Arabidopsis thaliana: one gene and its partners. The protein of the gene in region 2 interacts with the protein of the main gene of each other region in a pairwise test. Each region holds a gene or a part of one and is shown on either strand. Other genes may lie near its edges. The genes, in order: FES1, FRI and AT5G61920.

Region 1 (3,753 bases), on a different chromosome or scaffold from region 2:
TCCTTTACTTGACAATGAATCATTAAGAGGTCTGTCTCCTAGATTCTCTATATCCGTGAAAGGATCGTAGAGGGCATCAGACGAGGGAAGAATATAAGGTGGAATTGTAAAAGATGCTTTAAAAGGTTCAGAAGGTTCCCAGTCATCTGAAGAAACTTTCTTTTTAGTGCTAGTAGTGTTGGCTTCTGCGCCTTTATCAGAAGAAACAGCTACCCCTTGCAGCGTTGGAAGTGATCCGGATCCAGATAAACTATTCCCATTTTCAAAATCCCCCACCGTAGAAGCACGATCATTCATAGGAACAGAACTGGATAATGATCCTGTCCAGGCTGGTCCAGCAGATCCCATGTCTGTTTTTAAATAGGAACTGATAGAAGGTCTATGCTCATGAACAAAGCTGCTTCTCAATGCGAAGGAATTGGCGTTATTAATAACTAGAGACCTGTTGTCAGTGAAATCAGCACCATACGTTTGCTTCAAACTCTCTCTTCTAATGTTTTCAAATGAAGGCATAAAGCGCATCTCGTTATTGAACGGGAAAACTCTCTGAGAACCTGGGGGATTCACAAAAGACATGGAGGAGAAAACTCTCTGAGGATTCATGAAAGATATATCCTCTCTGGTAGGCAACGATGTCACACCGTTTTCGCTTAACTGGGAAACTCTTACACCTTCTCTGCTGTCCAAAATTCTTCTTTCTGAATAGACATAAGCAAAATAAATTATTGGTTGATTCAGAAAGAGTAATTAAACCCCATAGATATTCACCGGCCTCTATATTGTTGGAACTACCTCCACATAGAATCACAAGAATAAGTATTCATGGTACAACGTACCTAGATCAGACCGGATACCACCGTTTCCAGCCATACTATTTTCCGCCAGTTGTTGACTAGTGCAATTTGAATTCTCTTTCACATGTAGAAACTTGCAGGACACCCCATTGAAACACCACCCTTTAGCAAAAAATTTGCAGGGAAGAGCTGCACGTTTTTGTTCTGGTTCATTCCCACCACCGCCAGTGAAAAAGCTTCTTGGCGGTATACCCGGAGCAGGAAATCTGATAACCGAATTTGTCAGTATAAAAGCTTCAACCTCTTAACTTAGTTTCAGCAAAACTTAAGCAGAAACTTTTTTGCCATACCTTGGTAAAGTACCATTATCTTGAGCAAAAGCTTGCTCCTTTATGATTTTTGATTGCTCATCTAAAGGTGTTGTTACAGAATGCCTCTTCACATCTACATGAGACAAGTTTAATCAGTACATATTAGCAAAACTGCTGTTTTGAATAAACAAAAGAGATTCCTTACAGAAACAAGCACAAAACTCTGAGAATTGAATTTGCTTACTTGGTATTAAAGCCACAATTTTTACAAAAGAGCTTCAGTGAAAATCTAATTGCCAAGTCTTTGAACCTCTAATCAGAGCTAAATCTAGTCAATTTAACAATTCTCTCTTTCTTCTAGAACAAAATTCATCAATTCCAAATTGGAAAAGGTGTTTCCATCAATAAAAACACGAACTTGACAGAATTAATCAACAATACCATGTAACCAATCACGAATTTCAAATACTAACCGTTGTGGGAATTGGAAGCTTGAATTGGTGGTTTATCAAACAATTCAGATTCTCTTACAATTGTATGTACTTGCACCTTTTGTTCGACCTCATCATCATCAATGTCCATGTCGGAATCAGACATCTTGAAGTCTTCGGCGAGGTAACCAACGCAGAGAGTGGTAAATTGATAAAAAAAAATACTGCGGCGTGATCGGGGTCCGAAGCTCGCTGTTGAGTCCTGATGATCTCCGAGAATACGTTTGGTATATCGAAACCACCATTGTTACAAAGACCACCGAACTATTTTATATCTAATGGGCCTTTCCTAAATAATTAAAGCTTTAGTATTAAGGCCCATACTAAATTCCAAATTTTACCAACTATTTCCTAAATTAACACATCGTTGCCTTTTTATAGTAACCGGATTAAACCAAAACAAAATTAAAGAGAATCGAATCAAACCGTGAAAATCGTGAAGCGTAGTGGTGCTATATTGCACGTTAACTGTCTCCATCACTGCCACTGGTAAACCCTAAGAATCCTCCGCAATTTCGCAATTTTGTGAAGGAGCCGCCGGCTAAATTTGATGGCAGACCAAAGTTCGGAGATCGTCAATGCTCTGTCGTCGGAGATGGAAGCTGTTTCCGTTTCATCAACTCAGGCATCTTCTTCGTCCGATGGATTCCAGTGAGTTTTCTTACCAATCATCAATTTTTTTCATTTTCGCGCTTCAATTTTGATTTGGATTATATTATTTGATTAGAGTGGAAGAGATGAAAAAGCTATAGCAATTTAGAAGTATGGAATTTAAAATTGAAAAGATCTTGTTATCTGCTTATTGGTCTGGTAGATATTGAAATTTTACTAATTCTTCAGGATGAGTGAAGAAGTTGAGAAGAGATACAAAATTGTTAGGAGTATCGGTGAGGAATGTATACAAGAGGAAGAGCTAAAGAATCTTCTTGCTAAGAAGGCTGCTCCGATTTGCTACGACGGCTTTGAACCATCAGGAAGAATGCACATTGCTCAGGTCTGTTAGTTTTCCTTTGTTCCATTACCATATGTGGGAAGGAAGCGTTGGCTAATCTATTTTGGTTCTGTTGTTTTCTTAATAGGGAGTGATGAAAGTCATCAATGTGAACAAAATGACTTCAGCTGGTTGCAGAGTGAAGATTTGGATTGCTGATTGGTTTGCTCAGTTGAACAACAAAATGGGTGGTGACTTGAAGAAAATCAGAGTGGTTGGAGAATACTTTCAAGAGATATGGAAGGCTGCTGGGATGGATAATGACAAAGTAGAGTTTTTGTGGTCGTCCGAAGAAATTAATTCTAAGGCAGATAAGTATTGGCCTCTTGTGATGGACATTGCTCGCAAAAACAAGCTCCCTAGAATCTTAAGGTTACTTTTCTAAATCTTCTCCATTCTTGGGACGTTGTAATTATGTGAGGGAAATGATGGGACCTGAATGACTCTGGTTCTTGTCCTTGAAGGTGTGTGCAGATTATGGGACGTAGTGAGACTGATGAACTGAGTGCTGCCCAGATCCTTTACCCATGCATGCAATGTGCAGATATTTTTTTCCTTGAGGTACTGTTAAGCCTTTGCTTGCTTATGAACTGTCTTTGATTCTGCTGCTAGTTACTCGGAATAAAAAATTTAGCTTAAGCGTTACATCAGCAGAAAGTCTATTATATTGTTGATAAAACACCTGATAAAAGCTCCAGGCTAGAAATAAGCTGTATATGATTGCAGATTTTATCAATGTAATGTTACATTTTGTGTATCTGGCTGATGAGTTCTGTGACTACTGTTAAACCATTTTCGTTACATATGTAGGCTGATATTTGCCAGCTTGGGATGGATCAAAGAAAAGTAAATGTGCTAGCGAGAGAATACTGTGATGACATAAAGAGGAAAAACAAACCGATAATCTTGTCACACCGTATGCTCTGCATTTTCCTATTTGACTTCTGTTATACCACGTTTTAACTGGTCTAGCGTGTTGTTAATCATTTATCATTGTTAACTACTTGCAGATATGCTTCCTGGTCTCCAACAAGGACAAGAAAAGATGTCCAAAAGTGATCCATTATCTGCTATCTTTATGGAAGATGAAGAGGTAACTATAACTTAGCCAAAATTCTAAGTTTACAAAAGTAGATAAGAGTTATCACAGTTGTTGACTTGTTTTG
Region 2 (3,753 bases):
CTAGCTGCTTTGTAGCCGCTTCTTTCTGTTGAGAAATAAATATATCAATGGTCAGACTCAGATGATGATAAAGAGTTCATAAAGGTACATAATGTGCAAGGGAAGGGTTCATACAAATGCCAGCGGTGACTGGGCTTTCCGTTTTGCCCTCTCAAATGACTCCTTGCTCATCTTTAAGAATGAAGTTAGAACTAGAGCAGCTGAAAACTTATCCTCCATGCCAAAGGTATAAACCATTTCAAGAGCTTCAATATGCATTCCACGCTTGATACTTGATTCAACTATACCTATGACCAATAGAATATTGTGTAAGTACCACTTCTTAGAGTTGGCATTGCTTAAGCTTAATTAGTATCCAACAGCTAAGTCATATGATTTTAACTTCCAATATTGGAAACCACAAGAAACACTATTTCAAGGCAATAGCCTATCATTTGGTTCTGACAAGCAACAATTTCGTACCAAAACCTATGGTTGAGAGTTCCAAGTTCTTTCCAGATTAATTTCTAGCTAGGATTTGGCTCAATCAGTCATTGCACTCTAAATATTTGATGTGCTCTCCTAGTTTATACCATCAAGCTTATCGAAAAACAAAGATGGAACTTGATGTTGGTCGATGATGTCAACAAAAGGAACCACCTTTGCAATGAAATTCACCGAGTGAGAACAGAATATGGTACCTGAAACTGTGACCGCTTCAAAGCACCGGCAATCTCATTCGAACCACTCATCCTTATCAAATCCAGCAAATCTGTACTCCTAAAGTTTGAAGGAACACCAAAACAAGCAACTAGTAAAAGCAAACCCCTTGCATCCATTTTCTCAGCCGCAGCTAATCCTCCTTCAGTCATCAACCTTTTCCTCCAAGCAACAGCAGCCGTCTCCGCCTCATCTTTAATCCAACTCTCAATCTTCACCTTCCCTTTACCACGATCAGGCATTAGAAGAAAAGACTCCAGTATAAGAAGCGAAACTTGTCTCGCAGAGCTCATAGGCGACTCTTTAGTAAATGCTCTACGCCCTTGTAAGTAAAACTTGCCAATACAATCCAATACAAACTTCGCTGGCTCCTTGGCCAATTTCAAAGCTGAAGGAATCTCTTCCATTAACTTAGCTTGATCAGAGATATTCGCGTATATGTATTTACGCAGACCTTTGCTACACATCAACTCACATATACGTTCCCCCTCCGGTTTATTCGACGTCTCCGGTACAATCTCCTGAGACGGTTGGCTCACAGTGACGGTGGTTTCTACAGATACATTGTTCCGCGGAGGCGATAACATCGGCTGATGGAAATTATTGTTCCGCGCGGCGAGGACAACGCCGTTACTCTCGAGTTTGGAATCAATTGCGTTTTCGATTGACTCGATGTGCTTCTGAAGATCATCGAATTGGCGTTTGAATGTTTCCACTGCAACTGAAAACGCAGCTAATTCGTCTATGGATTTCAAAAATTGAGGCTGCTTAGATTGACCGATCGTAATGTCCATACTTGTAGACTCTGTTTCGACAATCTTCGGTAATTCTCTTCGTCGCTGTTCAGATTGATGTCGCTGCAGCAGTGGATTCGCCGTCGTTGTGGGTTGCGCCGCCACCGTCGGTGGATAATTGGACATGAGATTGCGGCGAAGAAAAAAGATTGCAGAAGCCCTAATTTCCACTCTCCTTAAATCGGTCAAATTACCAAATTTTATTGAACTGTATATTGTGAAGTTCACATAAATTATATATTAATTAGGAAGTAACCTATCTTTTAATTAGGAGAAAACGACTTTTTCCTTTGAGGTAATCGTTATATGTTTAGGGCTTTTATAGTTTTGCTTATGAAAATATGTATTTGTGTTTAATAATTTAATAAAAGTCAGATATATATACACTCTTTTGAGTCTATGCCAAATAATTGAATCTACGCACTTTTCTCTTTATTCTTTGTATTTGATTAATGAAAACATAGTTAGGTTGCATGATTACGACATGTAATATATTGTTTTAAATAGTCACTAAAGCAGTGGTTTATAACATGTCTAATCACAAATAACGGTTCTTGCTCGGTAATATGAACCCAAAAGTTACTGTCTTACTCTACCTGCACTAATGGGGGTGATGGTGTGCTCTTTTTAGTCTTCAAACACGATAATCCCATGATAAAATCCTTGTGTACTTGGTTTAAGTTGTGACTTGTGAGTACTTTTAGTTTTAGGTGGGAAAGAAATGAAAACATTGTGGGCTGACGGTACTAGGTAAGCCCAATAAGGAAAACGACTCTACGCAATCAGAGAAGGTCGCCAAGCGTACGGTCGCTCCCTCATCAACGAACAACGTCGCTCGCTTTTTTATTAATAATAGTTCACAAATATTAAAACACATTTGGAAAATGACTTGGTCACGCGCACCCAAAGGCAGTGCAAAACTAAACGAGCCACCTATCAGTAAAACGTAGCCGTTGATTCGAACCACGTGTATATTGCACGCACCACATGCGAGTACGAGTAAGAGAGTTGGTGGTATATTCACGGCATATTATATGTGCACGAATTGAATCTCTCTAAGCACGAGAGGGCATTTTCGTAACTTTCTTATAAAAAAATCCTACCACGAGTGATTGGGCAAAAAAAAACTGAAAGAGGAAAGAGAGAGTTGGACGGAAAATCTGAAGACCGCCGAGAAAAATACTGTTGAAACGGAACTCTCTTACGTTTTTTCTCAGGAGATACGTTTCATCTTCCTCTCAGTAACTACTCGATTCTCACTCACTCTCGCCGCCATTGATTCTTCATCAGCTGAAGCCTTGAAGCTCTCTTCTCTTATGATCGGTCAGTCTCTTGTTCTCTCCGTCTTTCTGCAGCAGTAATATGGATTTTGCGTCTAGCGTTCAGCGCCAGAGTATGTTTCACGGTGGTGCGGATTTTGCGAGTTACTGCTTGCCGAATCGAATGATAAGTGCGAAACTCTGTCCCAAAGGACTCGGCGGCACTAGATTTTGGGATCCGATGATTGATTCTAAAGTTCGCTCAGCTATTAGATCGAAACGAAATGTATCGTATCGTTCTTCTTTGACTTTGAATGCTGATTTCAATGGAAGATTTTACGGTCATTTGCTTCCTGCAAAACCCCAAAATGTTCCGCTGGGGTTTAGGTTACTTTGTCAAAGTAGCGATTCTGTAGGAGATTTGGTTGGGAATGACCGGAATTTGGAATTTGCTGAAGGTAGTGATGACAGGGAGGTTACGTTTTCTAAGGAAGAGAAAGACACAAGAGAGCAAGATTCTGCACCTAGTTTGGAGGAACTCAGGGATCTACTGAATAAGGCAACTAAAGAATTGGAAGTGGCTAGTCTCAACAGTACCATGTTTGAAGAAAAGGCTCAGAGGATTTCAGAGGTAGCGATAGCACTTAAGGATGAAGCAGCCAGTGCGTGGAACGATGTAAACCAAACACTTAATGTGGTTCAAGAGGCTGTTGATGAAGAGTCCGTTGCTAAAGAAGCTGTTCAGAAGGCTACTATGGCATTATCTCTGGCTGAAGCAAGGCTGCAGGTTGCACTTGAATCACTAGAAGCAGAAGGGTACAATACTTCTGAAGAGAGTGAGGTTAGAGATGGTGTTAAAGATAAAGAGGAAGCCCTTTTATCTGCTAAGGCTGACATAAAAGAATGCCAAGAAAATTTAGCAAGCTGTGAGGAACAACTCAGGCGTTTGCAAGTTAAGAAGGACGAGCTGCAGAAGGAAGTAGATAGATTGAATGAGGCTG
Region 3 (3,753 bases), on a different chromosome or scaffold from region 2:
TCGTAGATTAACCCGGTCTTGTTTTTCGATGAACTGACATTGTTTTACACGAGAGGCACTAAAGAATGTATTAAGATGGCTGAAGACAGGTTGACCAAAAAAAAAAAAAAAAAAAAAAAAGATGGCTGAAGACTCTTTGTTTAGGCGGTAGAATAATCTCCTTCGTTTCTTCTACATTGGTGTTTAATTCTCAGCAGATGTTGTGATCGACCATTCAAGCACTTCTCTAACTCATTACTCTCTATCTTTTTTTCAGAAGAAACAGGTTGATATAGAAAAAATGAAAACTCATATACAGCTTTGATCCTCTTGCGATCCTTGCGGTTCTTGTGATCCTCCCTATATAGAGGAGCCTCTTGGTCAGCCTACAAAGTAAAAACCATTCAATTCTCGACAGCTTTGTTCCTTGCGGTTGAGATCTCACTTCGCAGCTTCTCAATCGCTTTAACCGCTCCAATTATCTTCCTCTCCATCCCTTTCAATTGCGCAAGTTTCTCTACGTTCCCACTCTTCTCTTCCTCGAACTCTTTCCTGTTCCATCAAACCAATTGGTTAAAAAAACTGATGATGAATCTTTAACAGTTACTTGACACGTAAAAGACAATTCTTTTACCGTAATCTCTGATGCTCCTCTTTCAACCGCTCAAGCTCTTGACTCGACGCCTCTAAACTCTCTGCCTCAAGACAAACCTTCTTCAAATCTTTCATTCCCAACTTCACCTTTGAAGCAAGCTCCTCACGTTCTCTCGCCAATCTATGAGCCTCAATGTGAGCTGATTGCACTTCCCTCCTTATATTCTCTCGATTCTTGACCATACCCTCCATTTTCGCTATTTTCTCAAGAGTCGATCGGATCTGAATCTCGTGGTCTGTTTCCGTCTTTCTGATGTGAGCTCTTAGCCCCTGGACTTCGCGGTCAGCCACGGTTAAGTCTTCCTTGAGAGCTACGTAGCTTGAAGCTAGTTTTCGGTTGTCATTAGAGAGCCGGTCTATCTCAGCAGCTTGAACTGCAATCTTGTTTTCTAGAATATCAGAAAGTGAAATCTGGTGGTCTCGAAGATGACGAGGATCCGAAGTCGAAGAAATGGTATCGTGGTGCCTCGACGATGATGATCCACTAGTTGACATACCTTGGCTAACTCGGCTATGATGATTTGAACCTATCCTCTCCCTTGAAGACATTCTGGAAGAAAGAAAAAGACAAGACTCCACTCAAAAACTTAGATTGAACAAAGAAAAACAAAGAGTTCCTTTTTAACCTAAAAACTTAAACTTTAAGAAGCGAATTGAGTGCAAATTCTAAATTCAACACTATGCTATCTTCTTTCAGACAAATTATCTATGCAATGAGATTGAGTAATCGAAGACAATGGCAAATCTGTAGACATCGTATCTTGACACGAGCTAGAAGAAAACCCAGAAAGAGGAATTACGAATTAGATTCTCAAGCTAACAACAAGACCCAATTTACCAAATCCTAAGAAACCCTTATATCATCCTTATCACAATTGGACGAACCTGAAATTCACAAAGAGAGATGATCTTCGATTAAAATTAGCTGAAACCGAACACCGAAATGAGATAAGTGTCGCAAAATTAAGAGCTTTATGCTCTAAAACCTGATCTCTAATCAAATCAAAGACAACGATCGATTCCACAACAGCACCAGCTTTGGTCTCGGCTTGTCAGAAAAAAGTTCCAGTTCTCTGTAAATTGTGATTTAAAAACCATTAAAGACGCCAAATTAGTTTCGTTTATAGATTTGGGCCAGTATTAATCCATTAAGGCCCATTAGATAGTAATTGGCCCATTTTAATAGTTTCCCTTCCATGCCTGTCACGTGACCTTCAGCTTCCTTCTCTGAAAGTCATCTTCTTCTCCCGACTTTTTTGAACAAGGGAAGAAGAATCCAACTTCATCAATTCAGATTCGCACGCTTGAAATTATCTGAATAAAAATCGAAAGCTAATAATGAGCTGATCGCTAAAAATATCTCTCGAATTCAATCTTCCTGATTTTCAATTTCTGTCTCTAGGGTTTCAATATCCGATAAGTAAGTTTTGTTCTTGCTCTTCTTACCTCATTCACATATCTCTCTTTGATTTTATTTTTTCTGAAATTCAAGAAGCTTTTTCTGTTAGATTCTCATAACCTAATTCGTTTTGAGGTATTTATTATTATTTCTTGATCCCACATTTGTTTCAATCGCTTTAAGCTCCAAATTTGTAATTTCAGTGTCATCTTCGTACTTGTACTGAAATGCATTGAAAATGGCAGAAGCGATGGAGACGGAGATGGATTTCTCAGATGGTGAACAAACTAATGGTAATTCACATGTTACTGCCTCCCAATACTTTGCTCCTCCGGGTTATAATAGAAGTCTTGTGGCTGCTTATGGGAATGGAAACACAACCATTGGATTAGAAAAAGGAATAGAAAGGAGACTAGATCATCATGAGCAACTACCTGGTTATATCTTTATGTGTAATGGGAGAACGAAAACCGATTGCTACCGTTACCGTGTTTTCGGGATTCCAAGAGGAGGAAAAGACGTTGTTGAGAGTATAAAGCCAGGCATGAAGCTTTTCCTCTATGACTTTGAGAAGAGACTTCTTTATGGTGTGTATGAAGCTACTGTTGGTGGCAGGTTGGATATAGAACCTGAAGCTTTTGAAGGGAAATATCCAGCTCAAGTAAGCCTGTGTGTGAAACACATATGATTTTGTTTATATGGCACTGCCTAAGATTGTTCTTTTCTCTATTTTCTTACTTGATTTTGGCAGGTTGGATTTAGAATTGTCATGAACTGTTTACCCTTGACAGAAAACACTTTCAAGTCTGCTATCTATGAAAATTACAAAGGTTCCAAATTTAAGCAAGAACTTTCTCCTCACCAAGTAATACACTTTTTCTTGCTATTTATAACACAGCCTTTCAAAGTTCCAGGCTTTCCGGCTTGGCTTTCAAGTTTCAATTATGATATGCTAAACAAAAATGTTCATGGATTGCAGGTTATGTCTCTGTTATCATTGTTTCGTTCATTTACGTCTCCAGAACTCGATTTGTTGCCTCATAGGTTGGCTTCCAGAGCTTCAGCACCTAGGACTCTATCGTTTGAGGAAAGGTTCATAGCGGCTACACATCTTAGAAATGCTTCATCGGTTTTAGATCCTCTGTCTGCTCGTCATGTAGAACCACGACTTGGCTCTGTTATGGCCCATCAGCCTGTTCCCCGCACATCTCTGCTTCAACATAGTTACTTTAGACAAGACGACTACACGACCCCACCTAGAGAAAGTCTGTCAAATTTGAATCAGCCTTATTATCCTACAGAAGCTCGGCAACTACGGTTGCTCGGAGACCCTTCTCGCTCAGATTCTCCTCGGTCCGAACCTCCGCGGTCATCTATTCAGGATCCTCAACTCAAATACCTCACCATTTTATCTAATATTCGGAGGTACCTATGGTGAACTTTTATCTTTGCCCAAATATGTCGATCATAGCTCACTGAAGACCTGAAGTTGTAGCCATCAGATGTTTAAAATCATAGCTAAACCTGAGAACTCTACTAGGTTCCTCCACTCTTCAGATGTTTACATTGTTCCTATTTCCTGGCTTTGCAGTTACTTATATGTGAATGTGTAATCATAGGGCTTGGTTTTTTTGCAATGACAGATATGGATCTGCATCAGATCGCTTGGCCTCAGAAAATGAATATCATCCGGCAACACCATCAGAGAAGGACCAGTTTGC

What was found.
Region 1: the proteins of FRI (region 2) and FES1 interact in a two-hybrid assay, tested with the Arabidopsis thaliana proteins (one study listed by BioGRID).
Region 3: the proteins of FRI (region 2) and AT5G61920 interact in a two-hybrid assay, tested with the Arabidopsis thaliana proteins (one study listed by BioGRID).

What each region holds. Positions count from the first base shown.
Region 1 is NC_003071.7:14,312,865-14,316,617, forward strand, and holds the start of FES1 (Zinc finger C-x8-C-x5-C-x3-H type family protein), read right to left. Parts: upstream 1,851-3,753; 5' UTR 1,703-1,850; coding exon 1,579-1,702; intron 1,239-1,578; coding exon 1,145-1,238; intron 1,061-1,144; coding exon 837-1,060; intron 699-836; coding exon 1-698. Other genes in the region: AT2G33840 (Tyrosyl-tRNA synthetase, class Ib, bacterial/mitochondrial), read left to right, coding at 2,147-2,247, 2,437-2,590, 2,676-2,959, 3,052-3,148, 3,398-3,503, 3,598-3,680. UniProt on the Arabidopsis thaliana protein: Transcriptional activator involved in the FRIGIDA-mediated vernalization pathway, but not in the autonomous flowering pathway. Acts cooperatively with FRI (FRIGIDA) or FRL1 (FRIGIDA-LIKE 1) to promote FLC (FLOWERING LOCUS C) expression.
Region 2 is NC_003075.7:266,892-270,644, reverse strand, and holds the start of FRI (FRIGIDA-like protein), read right to left. Parts: upstream 1,745-3,753; 5' UTR 1,620-1,744; coding exon 681-1,619; intron 288-680; coding exon 282-287; 3' UTR 115-281; intron 26-114; 3' UTR 1-25. Other genes in the region: KEA2 (K+ efflux antiporter 2), read left to right, coding at 2,856-3,753.
Region 3 is NC_003076.8:24,862,259-24,866,011, reverse strand, and holds the start of AT5G61920 (FLX-like protein), read right to left. Parts: upstream 1,723-3,753; 5' UTR 1,519-1,722; exon of another isoform or gene 1,184-1,518; 5' UTR 1,183-1,183; coding exon 614-1,182; exon of another isoform or gene 532-613; coding exon 384-531; 3' UTR 1-383. Other genes in the region: AT5G61910 (DCD (Development and Cell Death) domain protein), read left to right, coding at 2,283-2,693, 2,784-2,897, 3,012-3,457, 3,676-3,753.